Linked DNA regions of Diceros bicornis minor. The protein of the gene in region 1 interacts with the protein of each later gene in a pairwise test. Links are inferred from orthologs where the notes say so. Each region holds a gene or a part of one and is shown on either strand. Other genes may lie near its edges.

What was found.
Region 2: the proteins of PLD1 (region 1) and PEA15 interact in a two-hybrid assay, tested with the Homo sapiens proteins (2 studies listed by BioGRID). The link is inferred for Diceros bicornis minor from reciprocal best matches to the Homo sapiens genes PLD1 and PEA15.

What each region holds. Positions count from the first base shown.
Region 1 is NC_080754.1:50,325,528-50,333,266, reverse strand, and holds the start of PLD1 (phospholipase D1), read right to left. Parts: upstream 3,204-7,739; 5' UTR 3,067-3,203; intron 1-3,066. UniProt on the Homo sapiens protein: Function as phospholipase selective for phosphatidylcholine. Implicated as a critical step in numerous cellular pathways, including signal transduction, membrane trafficking, and the regulation of mitosis.
Region 2 is NC_080743.1:64,879,773-64,887,565, reverse strand, and holds the start of PEA15 (astrocytic phosphoprotein PEA-15), read right to left. Parts: upstream 3,047-7,793; 5' UTR 2,935-3,046; intron 1-2,934. Other genes in the region: CASQ1 (calsequestrin-1), read right to left, coding at 6,556-6,702. UniProt on the Homo sapiens protein: Blocks Ras-mediated inhibition of integrin activation and modulates the ERK MAP kinase cascade. Inhibits RPS6KA3 activities by retaining it in the cytoplasm. Inhibits both TNFRSF6- and TNFRSF1A-mediated CASP8 activity and apoptosis.

The DNA of each region.
Region 1 (7,739 bases):
TCTCATTCATAACAAATATTGGATTATATTGCCCAAGAACGTCAACTTCTCATATCAATTTCCCACCACAGCACCTCTCTGAGGCACAATAGTGATCCTGCTGCTTACTGGCTGCTACAACTTGGGACAAATTACCTAACCTTCCTGGGACAGTTTCCTCAACTGCAAAATGGGGATAATAAAGACAATTGACCTTTTAGGCTTGTTGTGAGGATAAAATAAGAGGCTTAGTACAGGGACTGCCCTTAGGAAACGTTTTCTGAGTATTGGGTATTATTATTACTCTTTCTACCACCTCTACTACTCCTGCCATGACTACTGTTACCATCACCCCCAGAAATGCCAGAAAGTCAAACTTAAATTGGGTTCTTCAGAAGGAAAGATGGGACTGGGGAGGTCCTTGGTCAGATCAGCTCAGCCTTTGCAATCCCTTTGGGAAGTTAGTATTTACTGTTATTACTGAAATAGTAAACTCCTGGGATGGGTGACATCATAGTCTACCCTGCTTTCTGTCCCCACCTTTTGATATGTAATCACAAGACCCATGCACGTTGGCACCTTCAGTGAGCAGGGTTAATGGCAGGAAGAAGCGGGGGCGGGGCGGGGGGTAGGCCTGAAAAAGACAGGGGTGGCACTGTTCACTGTAGCCATTACATGAATCTACAAAGGCCAGAAACTGCAGATCAAGAGCTGACACCTCCCGAAACAGGCACCGTGAAGATCAAGACTATGAACGGGAACGAATGCTCTGGGGTGTGAATGGAACTGGTGGATAGGTGAAAAATTTTCAAGGTTCAGCAGTCAGAAAACCCACTTTTAATATCACAATTACTCCTAGTTATTCATTTCTTCCCTCAGAGTCCTTATCTTCTACTGCCATTTAATTTTCCCAATGTTTCCGGTGTGGGCCAATTCACGTTGAAATAGTTTGCCTAAGAATCTGTTTTCAACTTCAAAACTCAGATTCACTTTAAAGGAAAATAAGAATCACATGCTCCTAGATCATCAGCTAGGTTCATAAGCCATGTAAGATTTAAGAGACATCTAGATACTTGCAATATCAACAAGAAAGCATGTTGGATAAAAATTAATCAGCTCAAAGCTTAAAATTAGATGGTACGGAACGAGAAAAATGCCTGTCTCTACATGGTTTTAGCCAAAAGGCAGAGATGTAACAAAACTAGACCAGTCCAGCAAGATGAGAATCAGAATTGCAGTGCTACATGTTCCAAACCTAGAATCAGAAATAAGATTTATCCCAAAATGACAGATTTTGAACACTACTATACAGTCTTTTTTTTTCTCCCCAGTTTTGGTAGAAACTTATTTTAATGAATATTCTTTGGGAAAACCCTAAAATCTGGTTTTTAGGGAGTTTCCCCTCTTATTCTATCCTTGGCCACATTGTTTATTTCAGTTTCTAATCAATGCTATTTTGTTTTATTATCATCTCTTGAAGAAGAGGCTGTGAAGCACTTGGGAACACCGAAACTAAGATCTACCAGACATAAATGAGCTTTATGTGGGCTTTTTAAGACTTTTATCCATGCCAATTAAACACAAACAAGTAATCAATGAGTAAAATGTCTTAACATTGTTCTTTAAAATCATTGGGCAGCTACAATCAGATTGACAAGTCTTCCTTTAAAATTTAAATTAACAGCATTTAATAATTGATAATAGCACATATATGCAGTAATAGCGTAAATAAGCAAGTCATAGCCACCTTTGATTTTTCCTGGTAAGCTCAAATGGCCTAGTGGATCTGCTGTTAAAGGCGGGGGCGGTAATACAGCTGTACAATTGCGTCTGGGGGTACGCAGGGGTCAAGTTGGTAAGCCTGACTGGCAGGCAGCCATAACTGCACAACTCCAGCCTCAGCCCTAGAGATGGAAACTGGGATCCTTAAAGTTTAGCAAATCGCCTCAAAGATTGTTTTTTAAGTACCTATTTCTGTCTCCCTTTCCCTTCAATTTTATTTTTTTAAACAGAGGAGAACATGAGAGAACAGACCCTTTCTGAAACACTGTATTTCCAAGCGGGAAAAAGAAGAGAATAAAATGGCAACGACATAAGCATATTAGCATATTTTAAAACACTAGTACATTCCCTTGAAGTGAAGCGTCCTTAAAGTAACATAAAAGCAAGAATATTTCATAAAGTGCTGCAAACATTAAAACATCATCAAATTGAACTACTGTTCTTATGGAACTACTTCGTGCCGAATTGCTTTGGTGACAAATTAACAAAAGTAAAATTGCTCTCTAGATCTTTAAGTTGATGAAATTAAGGAAGATATTCTCTTGGTACTTAATTTTATTGACAATTTCATCTTATTACTATTAGCAATACTTTTATCTTTTATAAGCCACACTCCATTTTTACAGTCATATTTACTCCTAGAGTGATCTCAGATTTTGAGGAATCACTTGAGAATAAAAACAGTGACAACTAAGGAAGGGATTCAGTCCAGCTTGATCCACCTGTACATTCTGCCCACATAAACTGCTATGCAGGTATTTTATGAGGCATTCTAGAAAAATGCCAGACTTTTCGAAGAGAAAATGAAAATGATATTCTGGTTCATTGTAACTATAAGGAGTAGGCCCAAGGTAAAACCATGCATGAGACGAGCATGCATGAGTGTGTGAGCGACAACACCGCTAGCGGGGGCAACACACGGCTGCCTAATGTCCAAAAAACCCAAAATCACCTGTGTATAAAATCAGACTTATGCCTAGAAGATTTAATGGGTGGACACAAAGAAAGTAATTCTAAAAAAGGAACTGAAAATGCTTACAAGCAAGTCCAAACCTGTAACTGCAAATCCAACACATATATGTTATTTCTTCTTGGCTTCCACTTGCGTTTAATATTGTCAAACAATGCATATATTATAAGAAGAATCATAACCCCCAAACCTCGGCAGGATCAACGAACTAGCATTATTTTCTAAAAGAACGCAGCAACAGCACAAATGCAATGCTAACTGTCACATCATTGCCCCTGAGCACAGAGAGAAAATGTGACACATGCAGCAGCAAGTTCAAAATGTTATTTACTAACCTGGCACCCCTGTGAAAGCAGTCGCTCCATTTTGCTTTAAAGAAAGAATTCTCACAATGAAACTAGTCTCCAAAGCAGCTGATAGCCGAGAGGGAGAGGGGAAAAATCTGACCACCCTGAGAATCCACAGACACAGGGAAAGCAGTCTGTTCCCAACCCCGTTTTTGGCCGACTCCCTAAAGGCAATTTAAGTCACAGCCAAGCCCACAAAGCACTTTAGCCTATAAGCTGTGGTAATGAACTTGAAACCACTCCCCGTATGTTAAATAGACACTAGGCTGCTGTGAGAAATAAAACTCATGTACAGAATGAGCTAACGCTTCAGGCTTCACTTTTGTACTGCTGCCCAAGAAAACTATAACACAAACTTAAACAAACAGAACTCGTACTCCCCTTTCTCCCCTAGAAGAACTCTCACTCCCTTCTCTCCCCCAGACACTGTATTAAAGTGAATCATTCATTTTAAGAGGCATACAGTCTGCCCTCCATTGGGCCATAAAATGAGTTTTATATTGTTGTTGGAGTTGGGTGCCAGTGGTGGACATGTAGCACTGTGATTTCACATTGCGTAAGAGGGACACGTGAAGTTATTGTTTCTGAGAAGCAAAGTCCCATACTATCACTATTTTCCGATTTTTTGGCAGGGGCATAGCATTAAATAAGCCTCTCACTCACCACTAAAGTCTAAAAATTAATGAAGTTCACGGGGAAAATTTATCAAAGCACCTTCTAACTTCTGATTCTGACTTGGTGTCTGTAAATCTGAAAATCACTCATAATTCAGTTTCACCATCTACGTTTAGGTTATATTTATAAGATAAATATTTTTTGTAGTTTTTTTATAGTTTAAAATGGAACTTAATATCATTCACTATGGTTTCAAAGTTAGAACTTTAAATTTATTTTTCATTCTAAAAAAATGTATTTGATAATTTCCTTAAGGCATTTTTATCTGAAAACAGTCAATAATGTTGCAGCATATTGCTTAAGAAAGAATAAGAATCCATGCTCTGCTACTCAACATAATGTGTTCACAGTATACACAACTTTCCCCTAGTTTTCAACTCCAAGAACAGTTTTAATTCTAATGGTTTGCCTCCATGATTTCTATTTTATTTAAATAAGACCTAATTAACATAATGGTCAAGGTTACCTCACTTTATTGTTTCTTCTAAACCATAAGATCAGACCAAATAGTCCAAGGAAAACTTGATTTACTTGTTGCAGAATAGATTTACGTGTATTTCTTGTAAAATTCAAGTTACTCAAAACCGATGAAAAATAAGCCATTAGCATATTAGCTCAACAAGATCAGGCATGAAAAACCTGGAGACTCCCTCAGGTCTACCACTCGCCCCGCCTGCCTCCCCCACCCACTCTCAGGTCAGGGCTCCACAGTTTCTCACGGGGTCACTTTAGAATGAGGGAGGCAAGCCAGTCACCTACCTCAGTGAGAAAACTAGCCTCAAGGCATGCGGCCCGTGCCTTACAAAGGAGTCAGTGCGCCACCTGGTGGCAAAACCAAGAAAAGGCTGGAAACCTCAGGGGAAGTATTATGATGTACTTGGATGCTGGAAGAAAAACAAAAAGGAAGAGAAGGATCAGTTATAAGGGCACATTAATGTCACATACAATTTGTGGTAAGGATCCTGAAAAGTTTTTTTCCCACAAGAGCAAAATATTTCTAGAGGATATGAAAATACTTATGCAAAAATAAAGTAATTACATTCGAAACCATCTCTTTGATGTAGATCTGGTTTGCAAACTTATATGATGATTTGCATTCTCAGAGAAATCCTCTGATAAATAATATTGATCTCTCCTTTACCCAAAGAGCTGCAAGGAAAATTCCTGTGAGGTCAATGTCATCTTTGAAATGGAAGAAATACGGATAAATCCCCAATTCAACTATATAACTACCGGTGGGACGATGTCTCCATCATTCTGTTAAAAGGCTGTATCCCCAGGATTTTTCCTACCTTTCTGTTAAAAAGTATTTCCTTTTGTCTCATATAAATTATTTCTGCTAAAATCAACATCCCATATCAACCTCAATGGAGCTGAAGTTAAATATTGGGTTTCAAATTACACTACAGTCTAATAAAACTCCAGCAAAAATAAAAGTATAGTAGGATGTGACTTTTAAATGAGCCCAAGCCACACTACTGAAGCTAAAACTAAGAATACTAGCTAATATTTAAGCTCTCACTATAAGCTAGGCATGGTTCTGAAGTGCTTTACAAGCATCAACTCATTTAAATCTCACACCTCTATTATTACACTAGTTTTACAGATGAGCGAACTGAGGCACCTAAGGGGTATGTATGTTGCCAAGATCAAACAGCTCTGGTGGAGCTGGGATTAGAACCCAAGCCATTTGGCTCTGAAGTCAATGCTTCTGACCATGTACTTTAATAATTCTGTCCTCCAAGTGCACGCCACTTGTGAAACCCTGCCAGACTCTGGTCAAATGAAAGGGATGGGGAGATAGTTGCACAAGAACTGCTCTGTGAGCAGTCCCCATGGTGACACAGGCTGGGAAAGGCTTTTCAGCAAAGCAGCCACAGAACTGAGACCTGAAGGCGACATGGCAGGTAAGGGATCCCCAGGCAGAGGGCCCTCACTGGGCCTGCCAAGGCAAAGGGGGAAATGGAGAGAAGGCCATTGGAGGGACCAAGGAAGCTTGGTGAGGCTAGGGGACCAGCAGAAGAAAACACTGCGAGGGAGGCAGGAGTCTTCTGATGTCACGTCATGGAGTCAAAGAGGCGCCACCAAAATTTTAAACCAGAAAGCAACTAGCTGTGCATGTTGGAAAGATAAATAAGGGGGAACCAAGCCTTGTAGGGTGAGTAGAAATTTAGAAGACATTCCAGGTGAAGGGAAGGGCAGACCAGTGCTTTAAAACGTACAACTTTACACTGTCACGAACATCATCAAGGAGGCTGAGGTGGTAATCCTGGCAGCAGCGGTGCTCACTAGTTCCCTTGCTCAAGCTAGGTTTGGGGCCAGAGCCATGCAGAGGCTGTTAGTGCCATCCTCAGAGCTGGGAACACAGGAGGAAGAGCAGGCTGGAGGAGGGGAGGTGGGATGGCCAGGCCAAGGAGGTGGCTTTTGGAGGCTGAGTGTGAGGTCCTGTGGGCCATCAAGGGTGGATGTGCAGCGGGCTGCAGGAGACACAGATCTGGCGCTCCAGTGCCCTGTTAGGACAGGAGGTACATATCTAGGAGTCATTGCACGCACAGGCAAATTGCAGCTGGAGGGCAGCAGCAGGTGCAGTGAGTTTGCCCCTGAAGAGCACACAGCATAAGAGGAAAGAGTGCAGTCCAAGGCAAGGGGTTTCTGAGCATCTCAGACAGAATTCAGGACATGGGTGAGGAAAAGTTTCATTTTAATTTTTACTAACCTCTAACAAAAATTTACCATTTCCTTCAATCGCAAATGTAGGCAACAATCCACAGTAGAATTAGCCATACCTATGACTTGTCACAAGTAGAAATCAAAGATATCTTCATATCACATAACAGTTGCAAATATCTCAAAGTATGATGTCCACTCACTGCTACTTCAGAATTACAGTAGTTATTAGACCTGCCACTAGCTCTTGGTATGTAATGCATTAATAAAGGACATGTATTACAATATTACATTTTTGGCGGTATATTGATAACTATATCAGTATAATTGGTTTCCTTTGTAATCCTAAGCATTCTAATTTTATGCATTTAAATTTATGCATTTAGCTTTATGCATTAAACATTACTCTGAAAAGGGATTCATTAGCTTCACTAGGATGCCAAAGAGGTCTCGTGGCACACATACACAAAAGTAAGGAACATCTGATTTAAGGGGAAAAGAAAAAACCACAGGAAGATACTTAGAAAAAGCATTCAGAAAAGGGAGGACCTCGTATGAGATGATCCAGGATTCAAATGCAGGACTTCTGACTTATGTTCTTTCCTCCACCAACTCCACACCCTAAAATAATAAAAGTAGTAACCCCTTCATTTGTGTCAACAAAGCGCTTTCACATGTATCTGCTCGTTAGCTCATCACACAGACCCAGAGGAGGAAAAGGGAGGCAACCCCAACCTGCCTGAAACCTCAGAGAAGCCGCAGCCCAAGAAGACACGGCTCCCCGGGCCAGTCCCAGGGGTGGAATGTGGCATCTGCCACCGGACTCTACGGAGCCGTAGTCATGAGCATAGACGAGTGCAATGAAGAGCCCATCCCTGTTATCATATTCGCTAGAACCTGATCCGGGAGGAAGGCATAGGGAGTGCAGAGCCTAACGAGTGGGTCCTGCTGTTCTTCAGGCTTCCATCTGCAGGGAGCGCTAACGATTTGCTTGGATTCTTTGCTCAAAGCTGTCCTATTTAGTTCTGATTGGTGATCCAGGGTGAATGACAAGATTTACAATATTTCAACTGTTTAATTTTCCTTTGGCTATAACCAGAACAGAAGCTTGTACTTAAGCAACTAGTTTGAAATTAGATAGACACGCTGGAACAAGGCGCTCTCTGTTCTCGCCTCGCTGTGCCCACCAACTGGCGTTCATGATTTAATGTGTGACGCGTGTTGCCAGGGCTGTGTTAGTGACAATGTCGCTTATTGTCTTTTCCCTATTCTGAAACATCTGTTATGGCTCATATCTATATTTTATTTTATTTTGTTTT
Region 2 (7,793 bases), on another chromosome or scaffold:
ATTCTGTGCTCTGCTCACAGCTTCCTCACACCTTCCTTCCTTCCTCCCTCTCCTTCCAAGCTGGCCCCAGGCAGAACCCTGACAAAGGTCAAACCAAGTGAGGATGCTGGGGAAGAGGGGCAGGAGGTAAGGATCGTTATATACTGACCTTCTAGGGTAGGAGTTGGGAGCATGACAGGTGGGTGCTCTCTGGGCACTGGAGGATGAAGAGACCGGCCCTGGGGGTACTTTGAGAAGCCTAGCAAAATGGGATAACCACCTGTGGAAGAGGTGGTAGCACCAAAAGAATTTCTGTGCATTATGACGTTAATTCATGATTATCCCCTCTCCCTAGCATTTGGTTCCAAATCCTCAGTAAACTTAAGAAGAAAGCCTGAATATTAGGAGCTGCTGCCCCTCCTTCCCTCACATCTGTGGCAGCTGCCTAATGCTGAGGGGAGGGGCCATCTCACACAGCTGGAAGGACCTGGAGATCCCTGCAATGGGCAAGAGGGTGCTTGTAGACACTCAAGTCTGTCTGTCTTGTTGCTTGGAGTTGAGGGTAAGGGGGTGGTAATCAAGGAGAAGCAGAGGGGTGGGAGGGGAAGAGTGCAAGATTCCTATTTTAAATTTTATCTTTTCCCAAATTCAAGCAGTCCTGTAGTTCATCCCTAATTATTCCTTTAATGTCATACTCAATTGACTTCTTCCCTTAGCTTCTATTCAGCTTTGGGGAGTGGGGAGTGTGTTTATTCCTGTAATGAAGGAAGAAGAGGGCTCTAAGGCTCCAGAGTCAGTCTGGGAATGAGGGGAAGCAGGATACCTGGGCCTCAAAATGTTCGGTTCAGTCCAAGAAGCAAAATGGGTTGCCTATGGGCAGAGGGACAGGGCTAAGCCTTTAGCCCTTAGTCTAAGACAAGAAAGACCAAACCCAAGATGGGGGCATAAGGAGACACCTGGCATTGGATCAGGCAGGGCAGAGAAGGGCTGCCTGATGGCGAGGAGGGGGATGGGCCTGTGCCACTCTCCACTCCTCTGGTTGTCTCTGCCTACTTCTATTTCTGTTTCTCTCCCATCTCTCTGTCTTCCTCATCCATTGCCTTTCTCCCTGGTCTCCCAGTCTCTCTTTTCCTCCTTTCCTTTCAATGAGCTTTCATTCTATCCCACTTGATGGTAGCCATGAATACTTAGGACTCCTGGGTTCTGTGACTCAGTGGTCCCCATCTGAAGACTCAGAGCTGCTATACTGTTAGGAGGCAGTGAGCGTCCATGCTGTAAAGAGGTAGAGTAAGTTTGGTGGGGAGGGGCCTGGATTGGTTGGCTGCATACAGGTTGGTGATCCACCATTGCATTGTGTGTGACGATCTGCAGGAGAGAGTGAGGGGATGGCATGGCAGGGTGTGACTCTGTGGCCCTCTCCTTCATGCATGACAATACATGTACATGTGATGGGCACAGGTGTCAGGGAAGTGAGGAAGTAGGCAACCAGGGCAGCCGACAGCCTAGGGCATCTCTGGCAATTTCCCCAATGGAGTGTTTAACCACAAAGGGAAGAGCAATTAAAGCTAATCGCTCTGACAGCCTGGGGGCCAGACACATACTCTCTACATATTCAGCATGTTTCCCCTGACTCCCTGTGGTCACACCACCACCCTGCTTTCATCCTCCCTGATTGCTGAGCCTCTGTGGTCCATTCCCAGCACTCTTCCCACTCTTCTGACCATCTCGGTCTCTCACTTCCTCCTTGTCCCTGTCCCTGTCTGTCTGTCTGTCCCTCTCTCCATCTGTCTCCCTCTCACACACATTCTCCTCATTCTCTCTCTCTGACTTGGGCTCCATCCTTGGCTGACTAATATTCATTCTTTCTTTTTCTCCCTCTCCCTTTCTTCCACCCCCTCCTCCATCCCTTGGCCACTCTGATGCCCAGAAACCAGCCACTCCCAGCACCCTTAGCTCTAACTGGACCCAGCAAGAGAGGCCACCAGCAGCCCATACCCAACCTACTCACCCAGTTTCAGAGCACCAGGCTCACTCGCACTCAAGATCCTGTCTCCCTGTCCTGAAGTGAGGCAAAGATTTTCTTGCATCTTTTCCCACTGTTTTAAAGAGAGGCGATCTGAAGCCCAGGGCTGGGAGAAGGTGCCCGGAAAATTAGGGTGGACTTGGGGATAGTGGCCCCCACTCAGCTGTCCTGTTAGATTGCTGTTCTTCCAAGAAGACTTACACATGGGAGACTGAGGGGGTGAGGTGGGGGGTTGGATGTGTAGTGCAGCGACGTTTGTGATTTGCTGTGTGCGAGACGATGTGTCTAAGAGTCACATGGGTGTGTGTCACCGTGTGTACTGGTGTGTGTCTTCTTGTAGGTGTGTGTGTCTCTGTCAGTTTTGACATGGATTATATGAAATTAATTAGGGGTTTTACAGTTAGCTACTTCACTCCTCTACACCCCCAGCTCCTTCCTCCTTACCTCCGGACAAGCCTTCCCCAATTCCACCTCTTCCCCAGGTGCAGAGGCTAGCGTGAGGGCACATGGTGCCAGCAGCCGGGTTGAGCCCTCGGAGCAGGGGCGGCAGCCCGGGTAACTGAGGCAGGGCTGGGCCGGGAGACCGCCAGCCCAGGCGAGGCCGGAGCCAGAGAAGGGGAGGGAGGGGCGGGAGCTGGCTCGGCCGAGCCGGCTGGGCGGGAAGCAGGCTCCATCCTAATCCCCAGGCCCCGGTCCGACTCCCAAACTGCCGTTCAGCATGGAATGGGCGGCCAAAGCCACGCCGCCTGCAGCACCCTCTCGGCGCTCAGAACGCACCGACAGAGACGGAGCCCGTGCGGCCTGACACAGAGCGGACCCGTCCGGGGCCCCCGCTCCCCATCTGGCCCGGGGCGTCCCGGATCGACGCCCCTCCGAGTCCAGACCCCAAATCTGCCCCCTCCCCGCGACACATCTCCTCTCCGCCCTCTCACCGCCTCCGGGGCTGAGCGCTCAGGGCGCGGGCACTCGGGTGTCCCCGGTTCCTGAGGAGCGTCCGGAGCCTCCTCCTCAGCTCCCGCCGCCGCCGCTTCTGCCGCCGCCGCCGCCGCCGCCTCTTCCGCCCGCGGAGCCCGAGCCCGAGCCCAGCGCCGCCTCACCCCACCCGGCCGGCCCGTGATGTCAGAGCCGGGGAGGGGCGGGGGGCGGGGAGCGGCGGGAGGGGGAGGGGAGGCAGCCGGGGGCTGGGGTTCTGGAAGGCTCCTGGCATGGGGGACAGAAATGGGGGAGGGCTAGAGTAGGTACGCTGCCTCTTCCGTAAACCGCAAAACCCAAATCTCAGATTTAATTCTTTCCCGATGGGACAGTCCCCTCCCCTTATGACCTTTCGGTGGCCACAGTGGCTAGGACCCTGGGAGGCACAGAGTGAGTTAGGGTTTAGGGGTTTGGAAGGCCTTTGACCTCTGGGTCCTCTTAGACTTGGTATTTGGAAAACCTCTTTCCCTCCCCTTATGAGTCAGGGGAGCTCAGACTTACCCTCACTGGGTGGTGGGGTTGGCAGTAGGGGTTGGGGCTCAGACGCAACATGGGACCTCCTTCCCTTGACCTGGAGCCATGGATCTTTTTCTCTCCAGGATGATTCCAGCGGCCCCCTTGTGTTCCTCTCACCTTTCCCAAATATACCACCCTCCAGCCTTCCCCCTACCATGATGTAATTTTATTTTCTGGGGAGAAGAAGAGCAGCAGTGAGCTCAGCATGCAAATATAGACAACTTGCAAAGCCACTTAGCTCTGTCTCCTAGCTCTGCCCCTGCTCAGGCCCAGCATGGCAGCTCTCACTTCCCCTCCACCCCAGGGACTTTCCTCCCTCAGATTCTCAGCCAGACTGAAAGAGGGAAGGAAGAAGCAGGGAAGCATCTGTTTTCACCCCCACCTCCAGCCTAAGGGGTCCCACCTCAACTCTGGCAGAGTCTGGCCTGGGAAGAGGTCTGAGTCCCATCAGTGTCTGTACCACCTCTGGGAACCCCCTGGCCTCATGCCAGTTCCCACCTGGCAGAGACCCCTCAGGAAGCCTCAGGTGAGCCTCTCATTTCTTGGGTCTACACTGCTCCTCGAAGAGGCTCAGGCTCAGCTCCTGCTGCTTTGGGGTTCCACAGCCCTTTTCTTTGCTCTTCACCATCTCCTCCCCCAGTGCACCCTGTCACTACCCCTTTGATAGTAAGGCACTCTCATAATTTACCTTTGTGTGTATCACATTTGTTCTGTGTTGCAGCGCCAAAAATGATTTTGTTGACCCATCTTTGAGACTTGGAGAAGCTAAATGACTTATCTACAGTCAGTGAAAGGTTCAGGTCTCCCAGAGGCAACCAGGTACAGGGGACTTGGGCTCATGCTAGCTCTGCTCCTTTCTGGGGCACGTTATGCCCCTGAGCCTGAGTGTCCTCTCTGGTAAGATGGTGATGCTGATTCCTATCTGACAGAGTTCTTCTGAGATCTAGAAATCGTCAGTCTCCTAGGGCCTGGCATAGATGGGTACTTAAAACACATGAGATATTAGTCCGAGGCCTTTCACTGACCTATGCTAGAGAGTAAGCTCCATAATACTATTGTATTGGCCCAGTGCCCATAATGTATATTAAACATTTATTACATGGGTACAAGTTGGATGAATACATGGTTTCTACTCTACAGTCCTGCCACCTTCTCTAGGAACACTCCCTGGATTTGTCTGTAGAGGGTGAGTGAAAACTTCTGTAACCTCAGGTCTCATTCTTCCATGCTTATAAATCCTTTAAGTCTCGCAGCAACCCTTTTATACCTGATCCATGAAAACCGTAACGTCTATTAGTTATGGGCTTATTCAGTTGCTTGGTTCCACCACCCTGACTCCTTTATATTTACCCCAGCCTGGGCTGTGCTGGAGAGCATGTGGATCCTTCCTGCCAGGAACTACAGGAGGTCCAGGGGGACCCCTGTTGTACAAAACTCAACATTTCCTCTCCATTCCTGTGACCACCACTCACTTCCATATTCTCCCAACTTCACCCCGATTATTATAACAGTCTCTGATTATATGAGTTGGGCTCCCTGCCTCTGATATCTCCATCAGCTCCCCTCCCTATAACCATCCTGCTCATCACTGCCAGATTAAATTTTGCCCTTTCCCCCCTTCTTACAGGATTAAATGCAAACACCTCTACAGCTGAGCCCCATTATGCCCACCCAACCTCATGACCATCACTTGAACTCCTCTTCTTGTCTCTCTGGTTTCTTCTGGGCCCCAATATGACACACACATTCTGCCAGGGCTTTTGATGTCTCCACCGACTGAAATGTCCCCTCCCCAACTCCTTTGCCCCCAGTCAAATCCCACTCTTCATTTAAGGCCTAGAAAATGCTCACTTCCTTTTTGAAGCCATCAAAGCCCACTCTGATCTCTCTCCTCTGAGCCCATTCTGTTCATTTGTTCCTTCTTTTAGCATTTATTAGGGACTACTTTTTGCATGTCAGGCCCTGTGGAAACAGAGAAAAGCCTGGGTTCCTGCCTTCAAGGGGCTCACAGTCTAGTGGGGAGGACAGACGTGTAAATGAAGAACTATGATAGAACAAACTGAATATCAGAATAGAGGTGTATATAGAGAGTGCAGTGTGAACCCAGAGGAGGAAACTGCAGGAGGGGCCACCTCTGGGAAGGCCTCCTTGAGGAAGTGTTATTTGGGCTCAGTCTCGACGTTCAATAAGAGCTGCAGGGAGGGTGCTATCAAGCAGCACATAATCACTTAATTACATATTGCTTTGTATTTTTCTTCAATTGTTGAGTGTGTTTGTCTTGACTTCCCAGTGAGGCTAAACAGCTCGAGAGCAGGGACAGGCCCAGCACTCTCTGTTCTCCCAGAGCCTAATAGTGGTGCTGGACAAACACCATGTGTTCAGAAAAGGCTTGTTGACTTGCGGCAGATAAATAATCCAAGCTTCTCTGGGATAACTGCCTGGAGGGAGCCCCAACCCCCCCACCACAGTACCCTAACAAGTCACCCACACCTAAATCTCCCAGTCTCTGGCTGCCTCTTTCCTGGCATAGGGGTGAGACCTCATCAGCAGACACTTGCTCATGCTGCCCCAGATCCTTTATTGAGGCCTCTCATTTGACCCAAATACATTAACAAGAGATTGGTGAGATGCAGCCCCAGACAAAGTACCCCCCCTTCCTCCTGGCCAGGGATAGGACAGTCAGAAGGATATAGGATTTGAGAGAGTCAGGGGAGAGTGTGCACAAGTGGAGGGAACAGAATCGAGATGGGGGCCCACAGATATGGCAAGAGGAAAATCACAAGAAAGAGTGTAGGGAGTGATGGAAGAAACAAATACTAGATACAGGGACATTGTGCGACAGGAAACAGAAGTCAGATGAGATAGCTGGGCTGGTACCTAGGGAAAAGTAGCTCCTTTCTTCATCAGGTGAGGGGGATCAGAGTCTCAGCACTCAGCATATAAACCCCAATGGGCCCTGTGGCAGAGAATGACCTGGTGTCCCTGGAGGAGCTCAGGGAAGCACAGGGAAGGCAGGAGGGAGCCTGAGGAGAGCAGGCGGGGCTGGGAGATGGTTGCCACAGCAACTAGTCATCATCGTCGTCATCATCATCGTCTTCGTCATCATCCTCTGTGTTGATCTCGCCTGCCAGCACATCCTCCAGCCAGTCCTCCAGCTCCTCAGCAGAAGGCAGGTCCTCCTCGTCGTCCATCTCCAACCATACACTGTCCGCCTAGGACATGGCACAGACAGGGGACCAGAGCTAAGCCTGACTCAGGTCTTTGGACCCATCCTTCCCCTCACTGGACTCTGTACATCCTTCCCTACATCCTCTGTCCCTTCCCTTTATCTGTCAATGGCCAGAGAAACTGTCCAGGTGAAGGTCTAGGTTAGAATAGTGACAGTGGGAGTAGAAACAATGGTTGGTAGGAAGAATGGTTGGACTGGCAAATAGACCTTCTCCCTTCAATCTTTCTTCCAACCTCTTGACATGCTGAGCTTCCTAAAACAGACCTCTCGGGGCCGGCCCAGTGGCGCAAGCGGTTAAGTGCGCGCGCTCCGCTGCGGCAGCCCGGGGTTCGCCAGTTCGGATCCCGGCGCACACCGATGCACTGCTTGTTAAGCCATGCTGTGGCGGCGTCCCATATAAAGTGGAGGAAGATGGGCATGGATGTTAGCCCAGGGCCAGTCTTCCTCAGCAATAAAAAGAGGAGGATTGGCAGATGTTAGCACAGGGCTGATCTCCTCACAAAAAATAAAAAAATTAAAAAATAATAATAAAACAGACCTCTCTATCATGCCCTTGATGCAAAACCACTGGTGGCTCTTCCTGGACTAGAATATAAAGTCAGTGACTCTCCAGCATTCAAGGCTTTTCATAACCTGCTTTTCCAGCACCATCCTCAGAGATCTCTAGACTCTCAAGCCATAAAAAACTACTTGCCTTTTCCTGAACCTGATATTCATTTTCCTACTTTTGACGCTTTGCACTAACTTTCCCATCAATTTGGAAATCACTTCTCGTAATTTTCACTTGTAGAACTCCTATACATTGTACAATCTCCACTTTAAATGCCACTCCTTTTAAACTCTTATCTGATTCTCTCAAGCAGAAAACGCTGTGATTTCTGTGCCTTCCTAGCATTTTATTTGTATCTTTATTATAGAGTTTATCAGATCTGGCCTTGTAGTTAATAGAATACCTGGCTCCCCAGTTAGACTGAGAATTATAGGAAAGCAAAGACTGTGGCTTATTCAATTCAACTCAAGAACCATTTTTGAAGCACCTGCTATGTGTGAATGAGAAGATTTCTGCCCTCAAAA